Arabidopsis thaliana: one gene and its partners. The protein of the gene in region 2 interacts with the protein of the main gene of each other region in a pairwise test. Each region holds a gene or a part of one and is shown on either strand. Other genes may lie near its edges.

Region 1 (7,989 bases), on a different chromosome or scaffold from region 2:
TTGTATTTGGGTTTCATGGCTCCGCTGCTTCCACATTGTTAAAACGTTACTCATTTTTTTCTTGCTGGCGAGTAGGCTAGTCTTTGATGCAAGTTTTATCTCTTTCACTCTCTCTTTCTCTCTCTTCTCTGATGCAATTGCTGCTGCAGCAGCCGCCTGAACCGCATCTGGTAAGGACAGAACTTTTTCTACATTAGGGGTAGTAGCCGCCGAGATAATAACCTTTTGTTGACTGGATTTCTCCTTCTTGGCAGAGTCTGGTTGGTTTTCTGTTACTTTACTCTCATTGTTCTGATCAGGACAAGGAACATATTGTTGTGTTTGCTGGTCATACGAGTACCAAAGCCCACTATTGCTGTCATAATAGAGACCTGTATATTTAGAAACATACGATTAATAGAGAATATTACCCACTTCTTATACCAGTGAAACCAAGTTTCCCATCACCACACACCAAGAAGAGGTGCCTAGTGATAACCAAGATCATTAAAACAGTCTATCATTGTGCCATATCAGATGCGAAATTTTAAGGCACATACACATATATAAGAAGGCATAACTCAGCAATAACTAAAAGAAAAAACTTCCATTGGAAGTCCAACAGCAGCCATAATAGTAATCATATAACACTTGCTGAATCCCTACAGCCATTATTTAAAAGTCTAATTAAGACATACACTTGTATGATTGATTGATTGTATCTCGATGTTTGCTAGTTTGGTGCATACATAGTATAAGAATTCCACAATCATAAAAAAGAACAGGATAGTTTGAACAAACCAGAGCTGACGACTTATTTTTGCCAAGAAGTTATCCTATAATAGAATACATCTATAGCAGGACTATACAACCAGCCAACAGGATCAATCTTACTTTTGCCCATTACATGTTTTGCAATGCCAGATATGGGAATTAGAGCTGCAGCTACCCAACCATACAATCAATTCAAAGAAATAAATAACAATATAAGTAAATGCCGACCTGAATTTCCATCGTAGTAGTATCCAGAAGCCGCATCATAGTAATAACCAGATGCTTCATCCCACACATAGCCAGACTGTGGAGCAGAAGTCCCTTTCTGGGATTCAATTTCCCCAACACCCTGGGCCTGCCCTCCAGTGTTTTGTTTCTCACCAGTATTGTATTCCTTTGGAGCCCATCCAACACCGTCATACTAATAAGGACCAACATGAGTGTCAGGGCACATGGAGTAGAAGAATCATAAGAATGACAATCCTCATCTAAAGATACTGGAAAATTTAATTAAATGATCAATGTGTGATCACCAATACAAACGAGGGAAACTGGATCAAAACAATCTTCAAGTACCTGTTGAGAAAACGTTGCTGCTTCAATTGCAGCAGCAGCGAGGTTGTTGGAGTGCGAGGGTGCTGATATACCAGTTCCAGAACCATGAACACTCTTTGCATACGCAACTCTAAGAATTTTACCATTCCTTTCAAGAGCTGTTCTGTTTGTTGCTTCAAGTGCCTTAGTAGCATCCTCAACCTACACGAACATAATCATAATCTTCTGTTTCAAGTTGGTAGGTGGATTAAAAAAAAGTCAAATACACACATAAACTGGGGGAAAATAGATATTTGGACATATCAAGCAGTTCTACTACAAAATCTGATCACCGTTCAGATATGAAATTGGTAAGAGAATCAGTGACGAAATAAATAATCTACTACAAGAGCTTTTACAAGTCAATGCAAAAGGTGGTTGTCGAATGTAGATTATAAAAAAGTACGACAAAATAAATGATTGAGTGCGCTCACCACCAAACATTGCCAAAAATACCCACAAAACTAGTAGATCATGATTACTAAAGAGACACTTAAACATTTATAAAAAAAAAAAACTATAAAACATAATCACTCTTCACAAGCAGAATAAAAACCAGGTGGTACTGATCATCTAGACTGGGTTTCTAATTTCTACACAATCGAATAAATCTTTGATCAAAAGGCACACTTGCAATTTAAATCATCAGTAAGGGAAAAGCGAAGCAGAAGAGAGAGTTTAAGGAGTAAGTTCAACAACCAACTTGGCTTTGAGACCCTACCGAATAGAAATGCACGAATGCAAATCCTCGTGAAACATGAGTGAATTTGTCTCTCACAAGACGAAGATCCTACAAAATGGCGGAAAGAGGAAAACCAGGTCAACTGACATATAAAGTACAATATCTTAATAGACAACGAATCCAAAAGGGTTTTTGTTAACCTTGATAGGAGCATGTTTGGAAAATTCATACCGAAGCATTTCCTCATCAGCATCTTCATCCAACCCACGTACAACCAGGACATGAGTTGGACCTGGAAAAGAAAATAAGCAGAATGTATCTTAGGTATATATGGCATGTAGAAAAGTACAAAGACTATGGCCTTAACAGTTGCGACTGTTTCTGACTCAAGAAAGAAATTTAAAACATCTTAAATAAAAATGCTGATCAGAACCTGTCTCAGAAATTCGTTTTCCTGCTGCAGAGTTTGATAAACCTACATCCGCTGAAGGAGAATCCTTGGTCTTTGGTTCATTACACTGCATAAGGAGACAGAGATCACAGACATTTATGCAATGGCCACAAATTTGTTATTCCATATTATAACTGAACTTAGGACTTTTGAGTGTTCTATCATAAATCAAGACACAGACAGCGGCATGGCAAAGAAGGGCTACAGATACAATTGTCCACCACAAGATTAAACTATTGATAAAGACTTCACAGAGTTTAAGTAAATAGAAGGAAAGATAAATTAAAAACCCATCAAAAAAGATCAGTTAAAGGGTTTTAGTTGACTTCTTTTTTTATTGACATTTGAAAAATGGAAATTTCTCTATTTCCAAACAAACTATTGTATATGCAAACAAATACATTCTAGCATAGGTATGGACATCAATGTGTCGACATTAAATTAAAATGTTCATTTACCATTACTACCAAAATATGTATGCCACCCTAGTCTCAAACAAAGTGTCAATTGATGATACATATTCGTCACCAAAAGGAACTGCAAATAATCTCTAAGGAGCAAAAAACAGATATATTCTGAAAGTTTTATCGGTTCTATTTTTTTTAAGGTATTGTCGTCACCAAATCATGAGTAGTTATCACTTTGTTTGAGACTCTAGAATCACCAAACAATGAGTAGTTCTTCCGGTAATTAAATATATGTAATTTCTGTTCTTAACAGATGGGTTTATACTCTAGTCCTGACAATGAAATTTACAGAACTTTCATCCAAAACAATGCACCAACCTGAAAGCAAGAGGTTCGCCGCGCAAAATTGATACAGCCACAGATTGTACAGATCCAATCTGTGGGAACTATCATGTTTCGACTTCCACCATAACTGCGTCTAGAAGCATGTTCCTGCCTACGGGACACACCAGCCCTACCAGTAGGTTGGCTGCTACAACACACGCAATTTAGTGTAAGAATGTTATACTCTGATACTGAAACGGTCAAGAAACAATAATTTAAATGTGTAGTAATTCTATGATCCCTCCATAGGTAATATCTAAATCAATCAAAGTCTTATGTTTATTTAAAAAAAGACCTGTAATGGAACATAAGTTTCCTTCCATCCAAAACTATACCATCATGCTCAATTCTATCCATCATGGTGCGTGCGGCATCCTGCTCAGACAAAATACATAAATGCACACAGTGTTGAAGAAATCACAAGAAAAAGCGCAAGGAATTAACAGATTAGTTGAAAGCAAATACCACCGTGGGGAAATCAATAAAAGCAAATCCACGAGAAATCCCAGAATTTTGCTCCCGAATAACACGAACATGATGCAAAGGACCCCATTCAGCCTAGCATGCACATGGGAATAATGAAGTCATGCATGAAAAATTGTTTAAACCTGAGGACATACAGATTCAAAAAAATGAAGAGTTTACCAGAATCTGGTATAGATCTTCTTCTGTTGATTTCATAGAGAGACCCTTCACAACAACAGTGGCGGATGGGGTCTAGCAAAAACCATAAAAATATAGGAACGGATTTTTTAAATGTCTTCGCAACAAAAGAATATAGACCAGGGATGAGAGAATATTTTATACAGCAGAAAAATGATCCTGGTTATGTCTATCTTCATATTCTCTTCGCCTCTCACTTTCATTCCAGTGATCCCCCTCATAGCTGTCCTCCCGGTAACTCCGCCCATGGCTCCGACCTCTAGGAGATCTTGATCTAGAGAACTCCCCACGTCCGGTAGATCGAGATCGTGACTTCTCATATCTCTTATGAGGACTCTCATCTCTTTCGCGGCTGTAACATCTTTTGTCCCACTCCCTATCACGTGAATCCCATTCTCTATCTCGAGAATTCCGTTCTCTGTCCTGCGGATCACGGCTCTTTCGACTGCCATCTCTCACACTGGCCCTTTCATACTCAGAATCATAACTTCGGCGAGTATAATCATAATCTTTTTCACGACCATCATCTCTGCTATGATGGTAATTTTTCGATCTATAGTTGTTATCATTACAAGAATAGTCATCGCAGCCATCATATCTGGACGACCTTTCGTGTTCATGATCACGGTAATGTCCATTACGACTCCCAGCTTCACTATCATGATAATAGTCAGCAGCATAATTTGAATCGATGTAAGGCTTTTCTTGCCTGCGAAGTTCACTGGGATAATTTTCTTCATAGTTTCGCTTTCTAGATTGAGGCAAGTCACCCAGAGTATTATGTCCAGGTGGATAGTTGTAGACATCATCCCGCATCAACCTTTCATCAGGATATCCGTCATCATATGATACGCCAAACCTGTAAGAGCAATGTAGTATAGGTACAGAAAAGATATTAAAAAAATGAAATATGAACTATCATGAATATTTCGGCACAAGTAACCAAACCAAATAAAGTACAAGAAATACAATTTAGTTACAGTAGCTAAAATAAATATACCCCCATGAGCAATAACAAATTAACAACTACATCAATGTAATCCATTTTACTAGCACTCACCGATGATTTGGATCATGCTGAGTACCATAACCCTCCGGAGCCTGTGAATTGAAGAGAATAAGCTATGTCAGCAACAAACATCATTGACGGATATTACATTAGCCAAATCCCATCCACATCCTCACTCTCCCAAGTCTCTCACTCCACGGATGAGTTGAGATTCATAACATCCCTAAAAATATCTTGTTTATCATCCCATATATGTAAGGAGAAAACCACAATTACACTGTTATTATCCCATTCTTGCTGACGACCATATCGACTAGGATCCATTTCCGGCCAGTGCACCAAGCAAATCTTTGATGGTCTGAGAGAATATTCAAAGCTTAATATTTAAAGCTCTTTCCTGAAAATCACGTATAGAGTCTGAGACAGGTATATCTTAATGCATATATAATTAAGAATTCCCAACACTGATCACAAAGAGACTTTGTAGGAACTAGCTAGAGATTCTCTCACTCTCAGAGTAGAAAAACATGCATTGGCGATGAAGTAACAAAAGCACGAGAAGAATGCATACAACAGTAGAGATCATTATATTTTCAGCTGACGATTAGGCCTAAATTCTCAGTAATCGAGTCTTAAAAGCTATACAAAGTAACATACAAAAAACTTGAACTGGTCACATCCACGAAATCCTCAATAAAAAAGAAACAGGTAAAAATGAGAATACCTGTGATGAACTGAAAGCAGCACAACGACGCCGGACCAAAGACACCAGTGAATGGAAGATGAAGATGAGCTGTGATAACAGCGGAACAAAGACTTGGAATAAGAGATTGATTAATAGATAGAGCGCAAAATCAGGGAGCCGATAACCAGAGGTCAGAGAAACAAGCCTGAAACCGGTGACAAATCAGATACGCTGCGATCGATACAGAAACGAGAGAGCTCGAGCGATGAAGTAGCCGTATAAATCGGAATGGTTTCTACCGTGGGAACTCAAATTGAAAATATTCAACAGCGATCGATGAATTACAAGAGAAATGAATTCAGAGCTCCACGGTGGTGGACTTGGCCGAATCCAACTTTAACCAGATTAGGGTTTCGTTGTTGTTCAAGCGAAATATGAAAAGGCGTAGATGAGTTTTTTTTTTTTTAATTGAAAAATCCAAACATCTCAATTTCTTTGCCATAACAAAAATAAAAAACAACATGTATATATTTTTTTTTTGGAAAAAAGTAAACCAAAACAATTCAAGTTGCTAAAAAAAAAATACATAACAATTCCCAAAAAAAAAAATGGTAGCCTTCAAAAGAATTGTGTATTTGTAAATGATTTTTCAGTTAAACGTGTTATCATTTTTATTATTGATGTACCATTTTCAAGTGTTTTCTTCAATATCAAGTGTTCTAATCTTCATGATTAACTTCTATGTATTCCACCAATCAGGTAGCCAATACAGAGTGTGAGTGAGAACAATTTGACTTCAAAAAATCCTCTCTTTTTGATACATAACAAAAAAAAAACAGGTAAATCTATTTATGGGCACATTGTTTGTGAAAAAGGAGAAGAAAACTAAGAACGAGGCGTCCAAGCTGAAGCAGTGAGTAACGAAAGATCTTTCCATCCAAGCTTAAGTGTACCATTATCATCAACCAAAGTGTAACCATCCGAAGGAAACATTCCCAACAGTAGAGTCGCTTGTGTAGCTGCATTTCCAGCTAAAGATATACCTTTAAACCCACATTGTTGCATTTTCTCCCTCCAGCTCTCAAACTTCACTTCACCGCTTCTCGATGGTCCTCCAACCGCTAATACATTCCGTATCTCTTTCGATAATAGCTGCTGTTCCACGACATGTCTCTCTTCACTCTCTTCGCCGTAGCTTGCTCCCAGTGAGTCAAAGAGTGCAGAGTAGTAATGTATTGCTTCTACAAATCTTCCTAAGAAAGAACCAGCGTGGCTCAAATCTTGTTCCACTACTGTCACAACTTTAGGAGCTAATCTGTTCATTCCCCAATCATTAACCAAAAAAGCCACTTTTTAGAACATATCTTTCCTATATAATCTTAAAATAATTTATAGATAAAGAGTGATTAAAAGGTAATGTTTATTTTACCTTTGGAGTAACCAGAGAGTGTGTGCATCAGAGCCAGTGACATCATAAAGAGAATGTTGAAGCCAGTGAACAGCCACAGCTTCCCTTTTCCTCACATTGAGTCTCTCAGTGTCCAAGTTTCCAACTTTCTCAGCTAAAGGGCAGAACTCAAAAGGCAGGCCAAGCTTATCTGCGAAATCCGAAAGACGTTTCCCTGTAGCCTGAAGAGCTTCCATGGAAGTACCAAGTCCCGTGAGTCGCACGTGTGGAGGTCCTCCAGGTCTAGAAGCAAGAATGTGGAATAAACCAGGCCATTGAAGTCCCTGCATGATGTCCAAGTCAATGATGTGTACACTGTCTTCTTTCTCAAATGCTTCTTGAATCGCCTGATTCGCTGTAAAGTGTGAGAATTTCACTAAAGGGCTTATCCCATTAAAGACCTGAAACGCAGAGACCATTTTCAAGCTATGCGTTTGAGGCATCCACCGTGAAGGCAAAGCCGCGTAAATTCCGAGACACGAGTTGAGTAATCTCGCTGACATAGCTTCCGAGAAGTAAGCAGCTACTCTCTGCGCTGAGGTCCCGTAAGGAGTTGATAACTGAGAGATCTCAAGAAGAAGCTTGTTTGCTTCTTCGAGATTATCAGCAGAGACAGCTTCAGCACACTGTAGCAGCAATGTGAGAAGGTGTAATCCTTCTTCGTCTTGCTTCTGCCTCTTAATCTCTTCCTTCCTCTCTCTTAAAGCCTCCGCCGTATTTGTTTGGACGGCGGGAACAGTGGCCGTCACTGTCTCTGGTTGCGGTGGTGCATCGGTAGAAGAATTTTCTCTTTCTTGCTGCTGAATCGGAGGAGGAGGAGGCTTATGCTGTTGTTGTTGTTGTTGGTGCTGCTGTTGCTGTTGTGGAGGAGAAGGATTGTTGGAGATCTGATAGAGAGGTTCGAAAGTTTGAGG
Region 2 (4,494 bases):
TATTCCACTTGCATGCAACGAGTACGAGAATGACATTGTCTCTAGTCAATCTGAGGCGACTCTCTATCCTCCTAATAGACAATTCATGAGAGGTACAAATACAATCAAATCAAAGTGAGTTTGAATAAACAAAACAAGAATCTGAAACCAAGTTTCAATTCTGTCTGTTGATACAACAACTATCTAGTATCTACACAGACAAACTAAATCTCTATTTCAACATCAAATGTGAGTTTTTATATTCGAACAAATTCAATACAAAACAAAATATAAGATAATAATAGTTCATTAGTTCTAAAAAAAGAAATATAAGATAAACTACAGAAACAAATCCAACTGTAATGTCATAGTTCATAAAAATAATAATATTTGATGAACTATTTTATCCATTTAGATAAATTACAAATTGCATCATCCCAAATTTTTTTATATCTTAACAATCAAATCTATACGGCCATAATTTAAGATATAAAGACAATTCACTCATGTTAATTGCAAAACAAATATCTTGTTTGTAACTAAAAAAAAAAGACAATTTCTGTTTTGCTATATTTGATTAACATACACTACACTTTTTTTTTCTTTGGTTCAAAAGGCACTCTTAAAAGTCTCTAACACCAAATATTATTAAAAAAAAATCTGTAACACCAAATATTATTGTTATTTTTTTTACAATATGATTACTTAGTCGGAAGAATGATGATCTTGACTATAGGACCTCCTATGATGATGGGAAGGCAAGTGTTTATGACGTTTGCGAGATCGGTCTTCTTCAGAACGTTTTGATCTTTTGCTGCCAGAAACTTCACCCTTGTTGTCACCATATCGATCTTCCATACCTCGTGCTCTCTCTTTTCTATCAGAACGGGACTCTTCCCTGGAACACTCCTCTCTGTCTTTGCTGCGTCTTCTATGAGAACTGTGTGTGTGTGCGCTCGACCTGTGACTGTGATATGACCTAAGGCTGCTTCGCTCTTTAAACTCTTCTTCCCGTTCTACAGAACTCTTTTCCCGATAATATTCTTCCTCTCTATCCGACACACTTCCTTTTCTCCTTGGAGGTGATGGGATCTGCATCCAACAAGTAAGTTGTGGTACCAAGATTTTAGTTTACAAACTATCAGCTTTCCACTAGACACATTGAACAACCCATTTAATATATTATTTCTAGCAGAAGAACATTAACAAATGACCCAATAAGATAGCACCAGAGACAGAACAGGGGTAAAGTTCAAATGACTATAGAGTGGTGGTGAAGTTCAAGACATGGTAGACCTGTGTGCGCGACATATATCTTCCCTCAGGCGGAAGCTGAATACCGAGCTTTTTCAAATCTTCATGAGGGATTGGTCGTCTGATATTAACAAATAGAAAGAATGCCCATTTCATGACCACTATGTTTAGCTGGTGTTATCTCTGGACATGCTAAAGGAAGAGTAAAGCAAAACCATACAAGGGAGCACGGAATGGTCTATCTCGTCCTCCAAAGCGAAGTTGTCCGGATTCTTTCCTACCACCAAGGCCACCTCCTGTTAAGAGAGAAATAGATTTCATCTGTAAGGGATGAAAATATAACGCCTATGACATTTCATTACAGACAAAAATAAAGGTAAAGAATGGCAAACCTAGTCTTCTTGGTATCCATCCAGGCATCAATTGCTGTCTATTATAATCAACAATAATCTCTCGCCCATCTATTAGTGAATGATGAGCATCCTGCTAAAGAAACACCAAAAAAATTCTCACTCTGATAAACAAACTCCACTAGTTTCCAGTAATTACACGGAGATGTTAATGAAACAATCACATTGCGGTGCCTTAGTAAGTGGTTCAGACAGCTTTCAACAACAAAAACAAGAGGTAAAAAGAAAATGCAATTTAGTATCACAGCACCTCATAAGCACGAAGCATCTCCTTTTCAGTCTCATACTCCACAAAACCATATCCTCGTGAAGCTCCCGTCACTAAAAAAAGGTAACAAGAAGAGGAGACTCAATACTACACAATGTGGAACTTAGAGGAAATATGTAATCACAGTTCTGCTTAGACAAATATCTTGGTAGAAAGTAACAAACCATCAGAAATAGAAAGATGATAAATTTCCTAAAGATAAAGCAAAGTGTTGATGTCATAAGTAGAGCAATTGCAAAATCTTACCAATGTGTCTTACCAAGCGCAAGTTCTTAATCCTGCCATACTTACTCATCACCTACGAAGAAGAAACTTTTATAATCATATTCAAAACATAGTCTACACGAAAATCAAAAACTAAGTGAAATTTCAATCATTAACCTCTCGAAGTGTATCCTCCGTAGTGTGATGAGAGAGACGACCCACGAAGAGAGTACAGTAAGGATCTCCAACAGCCTTCGAATCACCAGAAGGATCATCTTTCAAAACAACCCAAATCAATGTATTTGAATTCAGAAACCAAACGATAAAAGTGAAAAGAGGAGCAGAGAGAACGAGAGAGTATACATACATAAGCCAGCGTTATAACAGAGAAGAGCTCGACGGACGCCGTTATCATGTGGAGCAACATCAGTTCCGTCGATACTTCCGGCTTGAATCGGATGATACGACGTCGCGTAGAACACTTTGTTCACGACGTTGTTTCCTCCGCCGCTCATTTCTTCTCCCCCGACTCTCTCTCTCTCACGGCGGCTCCGGCTGTTTAAGGAAATAAAGAATAACGTCGTCGTTTGAATTGATTACTATTAAAAAGCCCAACATATAAATTGGGCTTATTACAGCCCAGTTAAAGATATATGATATTCTCGTAGGTCCCACACGAAGGCGGAAACTCCAACGGTGGCTGCTTTGGGTTAGGTGAATCACTCACTGAAGAGTGAAAAGCTCTAGCACAAACCAAACACCAAATCTCATTTCTTCTTCTTCTTCTTTTTCCACATTTTCTGATTAGCAGATCAAATGATGCTTGTTCGATCTGTATTTCGATCTCAGTTGCGACCCTCTGTCTCGGGTGGTCTGCAATCTGCTTCTTGCTATTCTTCATTATCTGCTGCTTCAGCTGAAGCTGAGAGGACTATCAGAGAAGGTCCCAGAAACGATTGGAGTAGAGATGAAATCAAGTCTGTTTATGATTCTCCTCTTCTTGACCTCCTCTTCCATGGAGTAATTTACCCTTCTTCTTCTCTCTCTCTCTCTCTCTCTCTCTCTCTCACTTACTCTTCTCTTTGTTGTTCTAGCTACTCTAAATCACAAATTTGAAGTAGAAAGCTTTGGGTTTCTGTTAAATTATTGGTGGAAAGTATCGATTTTTAGTTTAACCCAGAACATGTTTGTTCTCTTTGAAACATTTGTCTTAATTTCCCGGATTTTAGTGTCTTTGTAATGTCTATTGAGCTAGGTATTATTCATTTGGTTGCTCATCTGATCTCGTTATCAGTTGTCTTTTACTTGAATAACGATGGTGTGTGGACTCTTTGGGTTTCAGGCTCAGGTTCATAGACATGTTCATAACTTCAGGGAGGTACAACAATGTACCCTCCTCTCCATAAAGACTGGTGGCTGTAGTGAAGACTGTTCATATTGTCCTCAGTCTTCGAGATATAGCACTGGAGTTAAGGCACAAAGACTCATGTCTAAGGACGCTGTCATTGATGCTGCTAAGAAGGTTTGCACTTTTCTTGTGAATGTTTATTTTTGCTGAATGTAGAATCCTTAGCAGAATGTATCAAGAAGAAGGGGACATGCATTACTATGTACCAAAACGTTGTTTTTATCAATCCGAGCTCTATCTCTATCCAAAAGACTCTAATTGTTTAATGAAGCATTTTGACGATGTAATGAGCTCTTCTGATTTGAATTAACAAATTTGATGTGTTGTTAGGCAAAAGAAGCTGGGAGCACACGTTTTTGCATGGGTGCTGCTTGGCGAGATACAATTGGACGGAAAACCAACTTCAGCCAGATTCTTGAATACATCAAAGAAATAAGGTACCTTACTATTATGCTTTTTAAGTTGAACTTTGAATTTCCTTGTTTATACTACATTATATGATCCCTTTTTCAGCTGCTTCTGAATCTAAGCTAACTTAAAAGATAACCCACCGAACCGATCATTAATGGTTCTAGAATGAACATTTTTGCATGTCAAACTAAAGTGAAAATTTCAAAGTGTACTTGATGTATCCGTGAGCAGAATGAATATGATGTTGATGATGGTGTCTGGCTGAATGTGTTTACTAACTTTCTGGGCTCTCACTTTAAAACAGAGGCATGGGGATGGAAGTTTGCTGCACCTTAGGCATGATTGAGAAACAACAAGCACTAGAGCTAAAGAAGGCTGGCCTCACTGCTTATAACCACAATCTTGATACTTCAAGAGAGTACTACCCAAACGTCATCACTACTAGAAGTTATGACGATCGCCTTGAAACTCTTAGCCATGTTCGTGATGCTGGAATCAACGTTTGTTCAGGTAACTTTGATATGAAAATAGTATTCTTGTATGCCTCAATTCTATAGAAC
Region 3 (4,978 bases), on a different chromosome or scaffold from region 2:
ACGATGCTCAAAAAGGTCCTATGACAACTACTTAGCTTCGAGAAGCAGGCACTATATATTTATCGCATAACGGTATTTATTTCATTCAATAATCTTTTTGTTGCATAAATTTACAAAAATTTGAGTGTGTGATGTGTACATATTTCTGACGAATACTTTTTGTTGCATTATCCAAATTTTTACATGTTCCCGAGCCGAGAGTCTAAGACGACGATTTCCAAATTATTGTCGTTGCTGTTATTATAATTGTTAATAATAGTAAGAATTATTATTATTATTTAGGACACGCAAGATTCCACATGATACTGCTTAAGCACTACGTCGAGCTAAAATGAAATACTCGATTTAAATGAACTACCCCATTAGTTACTTGAAGATGAAACGAAACAATTTGGTTTTGGTCTTTTGGATCATATAGTTAAACGTTATGTATCTTACTCAGTTTATTTTAATGAAGTTTGTTGTTTGGTATATCAATTAGCCTTAGATGTCAAATCAAAACGAAACAAAAACATGAAAATTCAATTTGGCGTTAAATCAAAATAATAATTAATATTCCATGGATAATTAATATACACTTAGCAAATTACCGAAGTACCCTTGCTATCTCGTTGTCGTCAATAATCAAAATTACAGTATTAACCCAATTAAGAGCGTTTAGCGTCTACGTGTAAAGCGGTATCAGGAGAAAGGAGCAGCGATCACATGGGTGGCTTAAATCTATATCCTCCGGTTCCTCACCGGCCAATTATTCTCGCGCGTGTCTCCGCTCCTCTCTGATGCGCGTCACTCAAAAAGTTTGAGTCAAACTCCAGTAATATTTTTGATTTATTTTGTATTTTCAAGAATTTCTTAAAAATTGCTGTTACGTAATTTACAATGCAATGTCTCGCGGTAAAGGTAGAGCCGGAACTCAAGTCAGATCAATCTCCGTGTATGATTGTGTTCGCATCCAATGTTAATAATTTCAGGATTTGTATTTTCCAAGTTAAAGGATACTATTGTTAACTAACGTATATGCTGACAAAAAAAATAAAAAAATAACGAATATTATAAATTTATATCAGTCGCATAATGAAATGTGTAATTTCACCCAGACAAAAATATCTCTACAGAACAAAAAAAAAACGTTTGTTATATATGTTTATTCTGTATATTTAAAATGTAGTCTAACGTTTGTTCTATATGTCTACAATGTGTATTTATATTTAAAACATATTCCATCCTTAATTTGCTTTATATTATTGTTACACCATTCATAGTAATGGAAGAAATATCTATTGGCATTCTATACTTTATGATATATATATATATATGAACCAAAGTATTGTATGTCCAACTGGGACATTTTATATGACGGCGGACGAATAAAGCTTAGCAGATATATATGTACGTGCTGGTAACTCCATATTCATTATTTTGGATTTAAGTTGTAACTCCATACACAATACACATTGATGGATTAGCATTGCATTTTTTTTATGGCATTTTATATCAAAAGATTCTCAATCAAAACTTAGATAGATTCCTAAAGCTTGTAATTAAAGCATCAAACATATTTGTTAACCAGTTATTATTTTTGAAATCGAGTAGTGTTTTGTTGATGCTACATATTATTCCATCATAAAAAGAAAATTAATGTGTGTGTAAGTGTGTTTGAAATAAGTCAATATCTTAGTACAGTAATTAACTAATTATACGAAGAAGAACTATAAGGGTAAAAACGGTAATTACAGTATTTGGTCAGCCATAGTTATTCCCGCTCGTCTCTTGAAAAAAATTCAAACCGGTAAACCATTTTGGTCATACACGTTACAGTAACACGGTGGTCTGGTCTTCAATAATAACCACGTCAGCAGCATACAGTAAAAACTACTTTAAATGTTTTTTTTTATTCTCACCCAAGAAAATAATTTATTTTTGTTTTGTCGTTCTCCTTCCTAAATAATTTTTCAACTACCACAATTAATTTAAAAATTAAAAATAGAGTATATTTGGAAAGGCACAAAAAAAAGAAACAAAATTCAAAATCTGAAATTTCTCAGCCTCCTCGTTTCTTCACCCAGAGGAGAGAGAAATCTGAGGAATTCGATCTTCGCTTAAAGAAGACGAAACAATCTCTCTCTCTTTCTCTCTTCAATGGTCTCACCATCTCTGTCTACCATCTCCTAGCCAAAGAAGAAGACGAGAAGAAGAAGAGAGGGTCACAACAATGCTTTATTCTTCTTATGTCTCCAGCCATGTGAGCTCCCACTGACACATTCTCTGCATCTTCGGAAGTTTTGTTTTGGTTTGATTCTTCTCACCGATTCCTGCGACCGAGTTTGACCCTCGAGTTTCGAGGTTAGTGGATGGCTTCATCCTCATCGAGAACTAGAAGCAGTAGACCTCCAAGTCCCGCTTCTTCCACTTCTTCTTCTCATCTCAGCAACCGTCTCATTCCTCGTTCTAACTCTACCTCTGCTTCCTCATTGATTACCTCCGCCGCCGGAATCGCCTCCCGATCTATGACGCCTAGTCGCACCTTCTCCGACTCGGGCCTTATCGGCTCCGGCAGCTTTGGAATTGGATCGCCTGTTCCCTACCCGTCAGAGGAGCTTCTCGGTGACCCTATGGACGATACTATTAGCTCTGAGCGGGATAGTATCTCCGTCACCGTTCGTTTTCGTCCGTTGAGGTATGCTAGATCTGATCTCGCCATGGACCAGATCTATTGCAGAGATTACAGTTTTCATGTAGATGCAATTGGAGTCAATTCTTTATTGGGGTTTGCAAATTCAAGTTTTTATCTTTGTGGGTTTGCAGTGATAGAGAGTATCAAAGAGGAGATGAAGTTGCTTGGTACCCTGATGGTGATACATTGGTTAGGCACGAGTATAACCCACTCACAGCTTACGCATTTGGTATTTGGTTCACCTCTCAATTATTCTGAATGTTTTCTTGTAATCATTGAGTGAATGTTTTCCAAATTTGTTTTGATGCCAGATAAAGTTTTTGGACCACAGGCAACTACTATTGACGTTTATGATGTAGCTGCGAGACCAGTAGTCAAGGCAGCAATGGAAGGTGTTAACGGTAAGTAACATTGCTGCAAAATTCAGCTTTACCAAAATCTGTATCTTTTATATAGAAATATCCTCTAAACCAATTGGTCCGCAAGTAGTATTGCTTGCAACATATTTTCTGACTCAGGGTTGGAATTTTGACAGGAACCGTTTTTGCTTACGGTGTTACTAGCAGTGGAAAGACACATACAATGCATGTAAGGGTTTTAAAAAAGAAGAATCCTTATACGCCTTTCTCTCTAGTTTTTCTTCAAAACACATGTGCTATGAATTGGGATCTCTTCTTCAACTTGGTCCCCCTTTGGTATCTGCTGGTTATTCTGGGTTACTCTAAACATTTACATGGTAGCAAAAGATACCATACAAATACCAACTTGCCATCATTAATTGGTGATGGTTATGTGAGTTGGAAATCCTCGTATGAATGGAATTTGAAGGTCTTCATTTAGATTGGCTGTGCTTATCTTTAGTGAAGTAGCTACGTTGGGTCTTTAGTTCCCGTCCAAACAAGTAGAACCTAAATCTGATGTTCTTTTTGTTCTGCCATTGGTTGCTTTTGCAATATGCATAGGGTGATCAAGAATCTCCTGGGATCATACCGCTAGCAATAAAAGACGTGTTCAGTATCATCCAGGATGTAAGTGGTCTTAACGGGGTTCATGTCTTTTCTCATCTCATCACGACTTTTTTATATGATTTCATGCTCGCTAACTGGCTACATTTTTATATTTCAGACTCCAGGAAGGGAGTTCCTGCTCCGTGTTTCATATCTTGAAATATACAATGAGGTAAGTGGAACTTTTTATCCTTGATATATTTACTTGGTAATCCCTGAAAAGTAGATATTTTTAGATTGGGATATGTTTTCTAGTTCTTCTGCCTTATCTTTGAGAACTAGAATGCTTAAAAATATAGAGAATTGGGTGACTGTTCATGATCTTCTTGGTTTTACATGTGTGCTTCTATGTTTCAGATATCCGCAGTTTATCTGATAACCGTCTTTGTATCAGGTGATAAATGATTTACTGGATCCAACAGGCCAAAACTTACGTGTTAGAGAGGATTCCCAGGTTTGCTTCAACCTCTATAGAATGCTTGGCTTTCTCCCATTTCTCTCTCACACACGCACACACATTGTGCTCTACTAGAATAAATGTGAACAAATTAGCTTAGAATCACATGTGAATTTGATATCATTTGAGAAAAGATATTGATTCGTTTTGCGTTTTGTTTTTCTAGGGCACTTATGTTGAGGGTATCAAGGAAGAAGTTGTTTTGTCTCCTGGCCATGCACTATCATTCATTGCAGCTGGGGAAGGTTATTAGATAATTTAACCCCTGAAACATGTTTTGATTTTGTCAACTCTGTCCTTCCCGCCTCTACTTAACATTGCTGTTGTTTTTAATTGCAGAACATCGTCATGTTGGTTCAAATAATTTCAATTTGTTGAGCAGCAGAAGTCACACTATATTTACACTGGTACGTCTTCATGCTCCAAGCTCCAAGAGCTTGTCATATTGTAATTTGTAGCCTCTTTTCAGTGTCTCGGCATGATGTTTTGCTCTTACAAGGTGTCCTTACAATGTACATGTTTTGAAGTCTAATTTGTATGTGTTTGCAGATGGTTGAAAGTAGTGCTACTGGAGATGAATATGATGGAGTTATCTTTTCTCAACTCGTAAGGGCCTCTTTCTTTTTGTTATTGTATAAGATCAATTAGTTTTGAAAATGGGACCTAACTGTATATTTTCTTGTTTAGAATTTGATTGACTTAGCTGGATCTGAGAGTTCGAAAACTGAAACAACTGGATTGAGGAGGAAGGAGGGTTCATACATCAACAAGAGTCTTCTAACTCTTGGAACTGTAGGTGTCTATTTTTGATTCGAGCTATCTTTCTATTTTTCATCTGTT
Region 4 (5,692 bases), on a different chromosome or scaffold from region 2:
AATCGAAAGTGGTGAAAGAGACCGAGTTACCTGTGGAGAAAAATGCTGTTGCTACTGCCTGCTGAACCAACCTTTGGTTTTAAGTGGGAACTGGGTGGGCTGTTTTAGGCTATTTAGAGCGTTTCTCTAGTTTTGTTTCCATTCCTGAATTTGCAGACTTTTTTTTTTTTTTTTTTGGAACCGAGTTGAGAGGGTAGTGGCTTAGTAGATGAAGTTTTGGCATGAGCATTCATCATCTTGCAGTTATTCTCTATCCCTTTAGTAATGGTCCAACATATGAGGATATGGGTAAAAGATTGGTATTGAATCAGCTTATTCAGTTTTATATAACTTTTCAGGCAAGACAAGTAAGAGAAACATTTGGCATCTGCTTCATACTCGAATGCAGGAATCAAACGGTCCAAAAAAAGTTCCTTCTCATATTTTGACAGAAGATTGTAGGTTTTTGGACATAAGGGTACTATAGTTTAGACAATTTTCCGAAGATGAGAATAGATGGAGAATAGCAAGGCTACCATCAAATCTTCTAAGCATAATTCTCTAGTTATCTTCTTGACTGGGGAGAGACGTCATTACTGACATTCATAATCAGCCCAGTCTTCTTTCCACTGCTAGCTCACTTCCTTCACTTGTTCCATCAACAACACTTTGCTGTTGCATATGCCAAAATCCAGCAGAGAATACAGAGGTGAGTAGTAGTAAGAAGTCACCAAAGATATCTCCTAGTCAAATAGCCCAAGTCCATACCTCAGTTAAATCAGATGAGTCCATAGAGTTAACCAAAAAACCATCGTCATTATAAATGTTAAATCCGACTTAAACATTGAATTTGTATTAAGCATGTCAAAGATGACATAGTGACAAGATAGCCAATTACTATTACATCCCCACAATGGAGTATAAAAATTCTACAACTTTATTTGCATGTAAGCAATCACAAAACATTGCATAAGTGAGTAAATAACAAAAGATCAAAAGAACAAAGATGGAGTCCATTAGGCTCAAGTCATCATCATCATCATCTCTTACGAGAGCTGCGCAGTGATCTTGGAGATGGCAAACATTCAAAGAGATCAAGGAGCATATTCTCAATGTCTTCACAAGTGTATCGGATGTGTTTTTCGCCTATGCGAACTGCATTTCTTCCAAGAAATCCTCTGTAAGACTGAACAACCTTGACAGAGGTCGAGATGTGAAGATCATCGCGGAGCTCTGAATCAGGGACTGACCAACGGGTTTGGTTCTTGTAAACATCATCAAATGCAAGGCTGAAAAGTCTGCATCTTTCTCTCAGGGTTCTTACAGAGTCGTTGTTGTCTCTGAGCAAAGCGAGTATGGAGCTCCATGTGGATCTCTCGTAGTTAGTGACATTGCATTGGTAGCTTGCAATGTGCTTCCTGATCCATTCGTCTCCAAACAAGCGTCTCAGCTCTGATCCCTTTACCTTCTGGACCATGTAACGGAAGTTGTTCATCAGGAAAATGGATTTCAGTGCTTCGTCTGCGTACAGCTGAGCTTTTCGCTCAAGGCTGGATTCTAGAGTTGTGACGATTGACCTGAGGTGTCTAGCCATTGGAGAGAATGTCGAAGGGAGGACATCTTCTCCTGTTTTCTCGGGGATGGAGTCGTCAACGTGTATGTTCTGAAGCAGTGAGTTTAGTGAGTCGGTATACTCCGGGAGAAGCTTCAAGTAGTTCATTACATACCTGGTCAGGTGATGAATCCCGCCTCCATGAAAGGGGCGTGTGGATTCATCTGAGGCTATTGCGTCTTTGAACTTTAAGAAGGTTGTGGTTGTATGATCAGCTAGTTTTTTTGACAGGTTGTGAAATGCAATTCTTAAAGACGAGCCTGTTTCATCGGGGAAGAGGTTATCGACATCCACGAGAATCTCTGCTGAAACCTCATACATACTAAGGAAGCGCTCAAGCATTTCTGGCTTGCAAGATCTCAGCACCACAGCTTCTCCAAAGTTGAGGAGTGATAGAATTGCATCTTTTGAGATTTCAATGAAGCAAGCTGTAGAAATTGACTCAAAGTCTCCCAAAATCTGATCACATAGCTGTTTTTCACTGGCGAGATAGACCTGAGTAATGATCTTAACAACCTTTGTCCATTTTCTCATTGCACCATTCAAATCCTCCCAGTCCATTCTGAGAACATCAACGCAGCTGAATCTTTCCATTTCGAGAGTAACCATATACTCCTCCAGAGCTTCTCTTTGAACGCCGATGAAAGCTTCACAGAATGGTTGATCATACTCGCAAGCAAACATGGCGTTTGCAATAGCTTTGATGTGAGGAAGTACGATGGGATCAACCAAATCAGAATTATAAAAGTCCGATATCTGTTCATCATCTTCATGTGAAGAAGCTTCGACAATAACTTCATCATCTAGGGAGACAAAGGACTCGTCGTACACAATATCTTTTCTACGGGAACTAACAGCCAAGTAATCAGGCTGTACATGCCGTTTGTGCTGATGCAGAACATCACAGAGCTCTTTCTCAAGCCTCAACATCGCGATGTCAAGAGCAACCGTAGCTTGGTTGTAAACATCTTTCTCCATCTGGTTAGTTTTCATGGGCAAAGCTTTGAAACCCACAAGAACTGTTTGAACGTCATACAGGGCTTGAAAGAACTGATCAGCTTCAGACAGACCAGCTTCAAACATCGTCGACTGGTTTGTCTCCCAACTGCGGATTCTCTTCACAGCTTCTTTGAATCTCTTCTTGATCTCAGAGAATCCTGCATCTTCAACTTTGGTATCAGCAATCCCAAATGTTGACAAATGCATCTCTAGGTCACTTAGGAGCTTTCTCAAATTGGCATCCAGGTTGTTATCAGATGCCCTCAGTGCCTTAACAACATGGTGACATGCCTCAAAGACATGATTGTTCATTCCGGAAACAGGAACCTTGGAATCAAACTCTGCCATAACCAAAACCAAAGACTAGAGCCTAAACTCAACTTAAATTTGACTAGACAACTAAATACACACGGCAGAAGAGAGAAAAGTCTAAAGTGTTTCCAGGTGAAAGCACAAATGTAAACGAAGGGATGTTATATAAAGTGATTACTAGGTAAGCTTAACTCCAAGAACTATACTTTGAAAAAATCTCAAGTCATCTCGGAATGAAGTAAACAGAGAGGAAGAGAAATCCCCACATGAACATAGTAAAAACCATTACTACTTAAGCTTAATCCAGTTGACATACTTATGGTAAAAAATCAGTGAAGCATTCTTCAAATCTAACATTTTTCCTCATACTATAAGCTCCCACACAACACCCCAAACTATAAGCTCCCACTTATGGTACCATACTATAAGCTCCCACACAACACCCCAAAGAAAAAGTCAAGTCAACGGCTTTCCCAAAAAAACTTCTTGTTTCTGTAAAAAAGGAGAAATTTTGATGTTTATTAGAAAGTGATATGTTATTTGATTTCACAGAAACATTTTATCATACACTCGGTGATCGAACAGAGTAAACGTACCGTGAAACGGGAAGAAGAAGAAGAAAAAAAAAAAAACCAGGAAAGAAGAGATTATGATTTTGATAACTGTGTGATCAAAGTCTCAAAGAACAGATTTTTAGAAGCAAGAGCAAGAGAGTTTCAGCGAGATTATTGGGGAAGAAGAAGGGAAAGAAGAAAAGTTGTGGTGCACGTAAACTGTATTTATAAAAACAAAGTTGAAAAATGGAATTAGTATTCCAACGAAGGCGATCCCGTAATTTCGTAGATTACGAAAGGTTTAGAAAATGATAAATTTTTGGGCCGCCCCGAATCTAATTGAGATTGATTCGTCCATTGACTTCCCCATATGGCGGGACGAAAACCATGGGGATGGTAAGTCTAATTAACTTAAATTTGGGGGTCAAAATGTAATTAATAAACTTCGAAATGAATTTAATTTGTTTCAATTACTTTTACGAATTTGAACATTTTATGTTCTATCTCTTGTCTTGATTTTTGATAATGTTGTCGTCAGAGATAATCGAATTTCATTAAACACATTTTATGGTGGATTTTTTTAGAGCTATTGGATACAATAGGGATAAAAGTATTATGTTTTTGGAAAATAAGGGGTACAATAATAAATTAGTGTAATAAACGTTGATGTTGATTAGTCAATACTTGAAGTTTGACTGGCTCGCAATGTATTGATCTGAACCGTCCGATTATATTTGTACGGCTCACACTAGTAGTTGACAGCTCATATCAAGTAAGGACCTCAGCAAGTTTTTTTTTCCCAAGTCAAGAAGTATAAATTTTCTCTTTATATAAATTAAAATTTTAAATGTTTGCCTCACGCAATGCGTAGAATTATTTTTTTCAATTGTCAAAAACATTCAGAGAAAAAAAAAAGTCAAAAACATTAAAGATTGTTGATATTGTTTAATCTGGAATTGGTGTTTGATTTTGATCCTGGGGATTTTGTATTTAATCTTTTTCTGAAATAATAATATCGTATGTGTTCTTTAAGAAACAAAAAAATTGTATTTGTTGGAAATAAATTTTAGATATTTATGAATCATAACGTGTGATACGGTGGATTCAAGACCCACACATAAAAACAAAACCATAAACTATGGGCCTGAAGTGAAAGGCTTTTGTAACACAGTTTCTTTCGCATACAAAGTCCATTATCAAACAAAACAAAATGCGCCAAAAAAATGGAAAGATACTGAAAAGAAGCGGTAAGAGTTTTTTGCCAAAAAAATAGAAATTGAAATCGGCGGGGGAACAATTAATCGAATTTAATAGCTCCCGCTTAAAGCTCTCTCCTTTACAAAAACCCTCGTACCTCTCTCTCATTCTTCTCACTATCTCACGGCTTTTAGTTTTCACCATTCTGATTAAAGAGAAACCAAACGTTTCATTTTTCAATATCTAGAGAGAAAGATGCAGACTTCGGTGACCCCAGATGCCATCTCCACCGTTTTGTCAAACCCATCCTTTGATTCGTCTTCCGATCGATCTGAGATCGTTGTTCAAGTTGTGGATCTTAAACCTATCGGCAATCGCTATACGTAAGTTTCCTTGGCTTTTCATGATCTGGGTTTTACTTGATTTCTTAAATCTCGCTTGTTCCAGCTTTAGGTCAGTGTTATATTCTCTCAATCACAATTGTATAGCTAGATTATGATATGCAACGACTTTGATGACTCTATGATAGAAGAGATCTGGGTTTGTTGATAATAGTTTGTATATTGCCTAGTTTTGGGTTTTAGTTACCGATTTTGTTCTGATGGATCTGTTTTGATTTTGGTTGACAGATTTAGTGCAAATGACGGAAAGACGAAAGTCAAAGCAATGTTTACTGCTTCACTCACACCTGAAATCATTTCTGGGAAGATCCAGAACTTGGGTCTAATTCGTCTCATTGATTTCACTGTTAACGACATTTCAAGCAAATCTACAAAGTAAGACTTCTCTTTTGCTTCTTCTTTACATGGATAATCACTCTGGTTCGATTCTTGAAATCAACAGTTACTAACATGTGTGTTTCTCTATTGTCTCTGTGTCAGATATTTCCTTGTGACTAAATGTGAGGCTGTTGGTTCTGTGCTTGATTCTGAGATTAACTTGGACAGTAAGAGCGGAGAGGAGGAGGCTCGTGAGCCCAAGAAGCAGAAACTAGAGCATTCTCCTGTCAGTCCTCTGAATGATGTTGTTTCTACTGGTA

The links.
Region 1: the proteins of AT2G43370 (region 2) and SUA interact in a two-hybrid assay, tested with the Arabidopsis thaliana proteins (one large-scale study listed by BioGRID).
Region 3: the proteins of AT2G43370 (region 2) and AT4G39050 interact in a two-hybrid assay, tested with the Arabidopsis thaliana proteins (one large-scale study listed by BioGRID).
Region 4: the proteins of AT2G43370 (region 2) and EXO70E2 interact in a two-hybrid assay, tested with the Arabidopsis thaliana proteins (one large-scale study listed by BioGRID).

Annotation. Positions count from the first base shown.
Region 1 is NC_003074.8:20,071,150-20,079,138, reverse strand, and holds the start of SUA (suppressor of abi3-5), read right to left. Parts: upstream 6,038-7,989; 5' UTR 5,834-6,037; exon of another isoform or gene 5,737-5,833; 5' UTR 5,668-5,736; intron 5,341-5,667; 5' UTR 5,268-5,340; coding exon 5,220-5,267; exon of another isoform or gene 5,036-5,219; coding exon 4,995-5,035; intron 4,794-4,994; coding exon 4,079-4,793; exon of another isoform or gene 3,989-4,078; coding exon 3,917-3,988; intron 3,830-3,916; coding exon 3,737-3,829; intron 3,647-3,736; coding exon 3,567-3,646; intron 3,420-3,566; coding exon 3,266-3,419; intron 2,548-3,265; coding exon 2,463-2,547; intron 2,322-2,462; coding exon 2,230-2,321; intron 2,138-2,229; coding exon 2,069-2,137; intron 1,510-2,068; coding exon 1,330-1,509; intron 1,175-1,329; coding exon 982-1,174; intron 372-981; coding exon 1-371. Other genes in the region: SCR (GRAS family transcription factor), read right to left, coding at 6,514-6,943, 7,058-7,989. UniProt on the Arabidopsis thaliana protein: Splicing factor that controls alternative splicing of the developmental regulator ABI3. Reduces splicing of a cryptic intron in ABI3, leading to a decreased in ABI3-beta transcript. Regulates the splicing of the receptor-like kinase SNC4/LRKL-2.6.
Region 2 is NC_003071.7:18,011,567-18,016,060, reverse strand, and holds AT2G43370 (RNA-binding (RRM/RBD/RNP motifs) family protein), read right to left. Parts: upstream 2,794-4,494; 5' UTR 2,631-2,793; coding exon 2,483-2,630; intron 2,391-2,482; coding exon 2,293-2,390; intron 2,210-2,292; coding exon 2,158-2,209; intron 1,965-2,157; coding exon 1,894-1,964; intron 1,717-1,893; coding exon 1,626-1,716; intron 1,530-1,625; coding exon 1,454-1,529; intron 1,355-1,453; coding exon 1,276-1,354; intron 1,072-1,275; coding exon 685-1,071; 3' UTR 531-684; downstream 1-530. Other genes in the region: BIO2 (Radical SAM superfamily protein), read left to right, coding at 2,932-3,135, 3,458-3,637, 3,854-3,960, 4,239-4,444.
Region 3 is NC_003075.7:18,191,111-18,196,088, forward strand, and holds the start of AT4G39050 (Kinesin motor family protein), read left to right. Parts: upstream 1-1,964; 5' UTR 1,965-2,351; coding exon 2,352-2,677; intron 2,678-2,805; coding exon 2,806-2,903; intron 2,904-2,985; coding exon 2,986-3,075; intron 3,076-3,209; coding exon 3,210-3,262; intron 3,263-3,636; coding exon 3,637-3,702; intron 3,703-3,799; coding exon 3,800-3,853; intron 3,854-4,075; coding exon 4,076-4,135; intron 4,136-4,304; coding exon 4,305-4,383; intron 4,384-4,477; coding exon 4,478-4,545; intron 4,546-4,687; coding exon 4,688-4,744; intron 4,745-4,825; coding exon 4,826-4,930; intron 4,931-4,978.
Region 4 is NC_003076.8:24,551,858-24,557,549, reverse strand, and holds EXO70E2 (exocyst subunit exo70 family protein E2), read right to left. Parts: upstream 3,807-5,692; 5' UTR 2,939-3,806; coding exon 1,019-2,938; 3' UTR 507-1,018; downstream 1-506. Other genes in the region: ECT3 (evolutionarily conserved C-terminal region 3), read left to right, coding at 1-65; RPA70D (Replication factor-A protein 1-like protein), read left to right, coding at 4,909-5,036, 5,283-5,429, 5,535-5,692. UniProt on the Arabidopsis thaliana protein: Influences the subcellular localization patterns of other exocyst complex proteins (e.g. SEC5A, SEC15A, SEC15B and EXO84B) leading to their recruitment to exocyst, well-defined large punctate structures throughout the cytosol.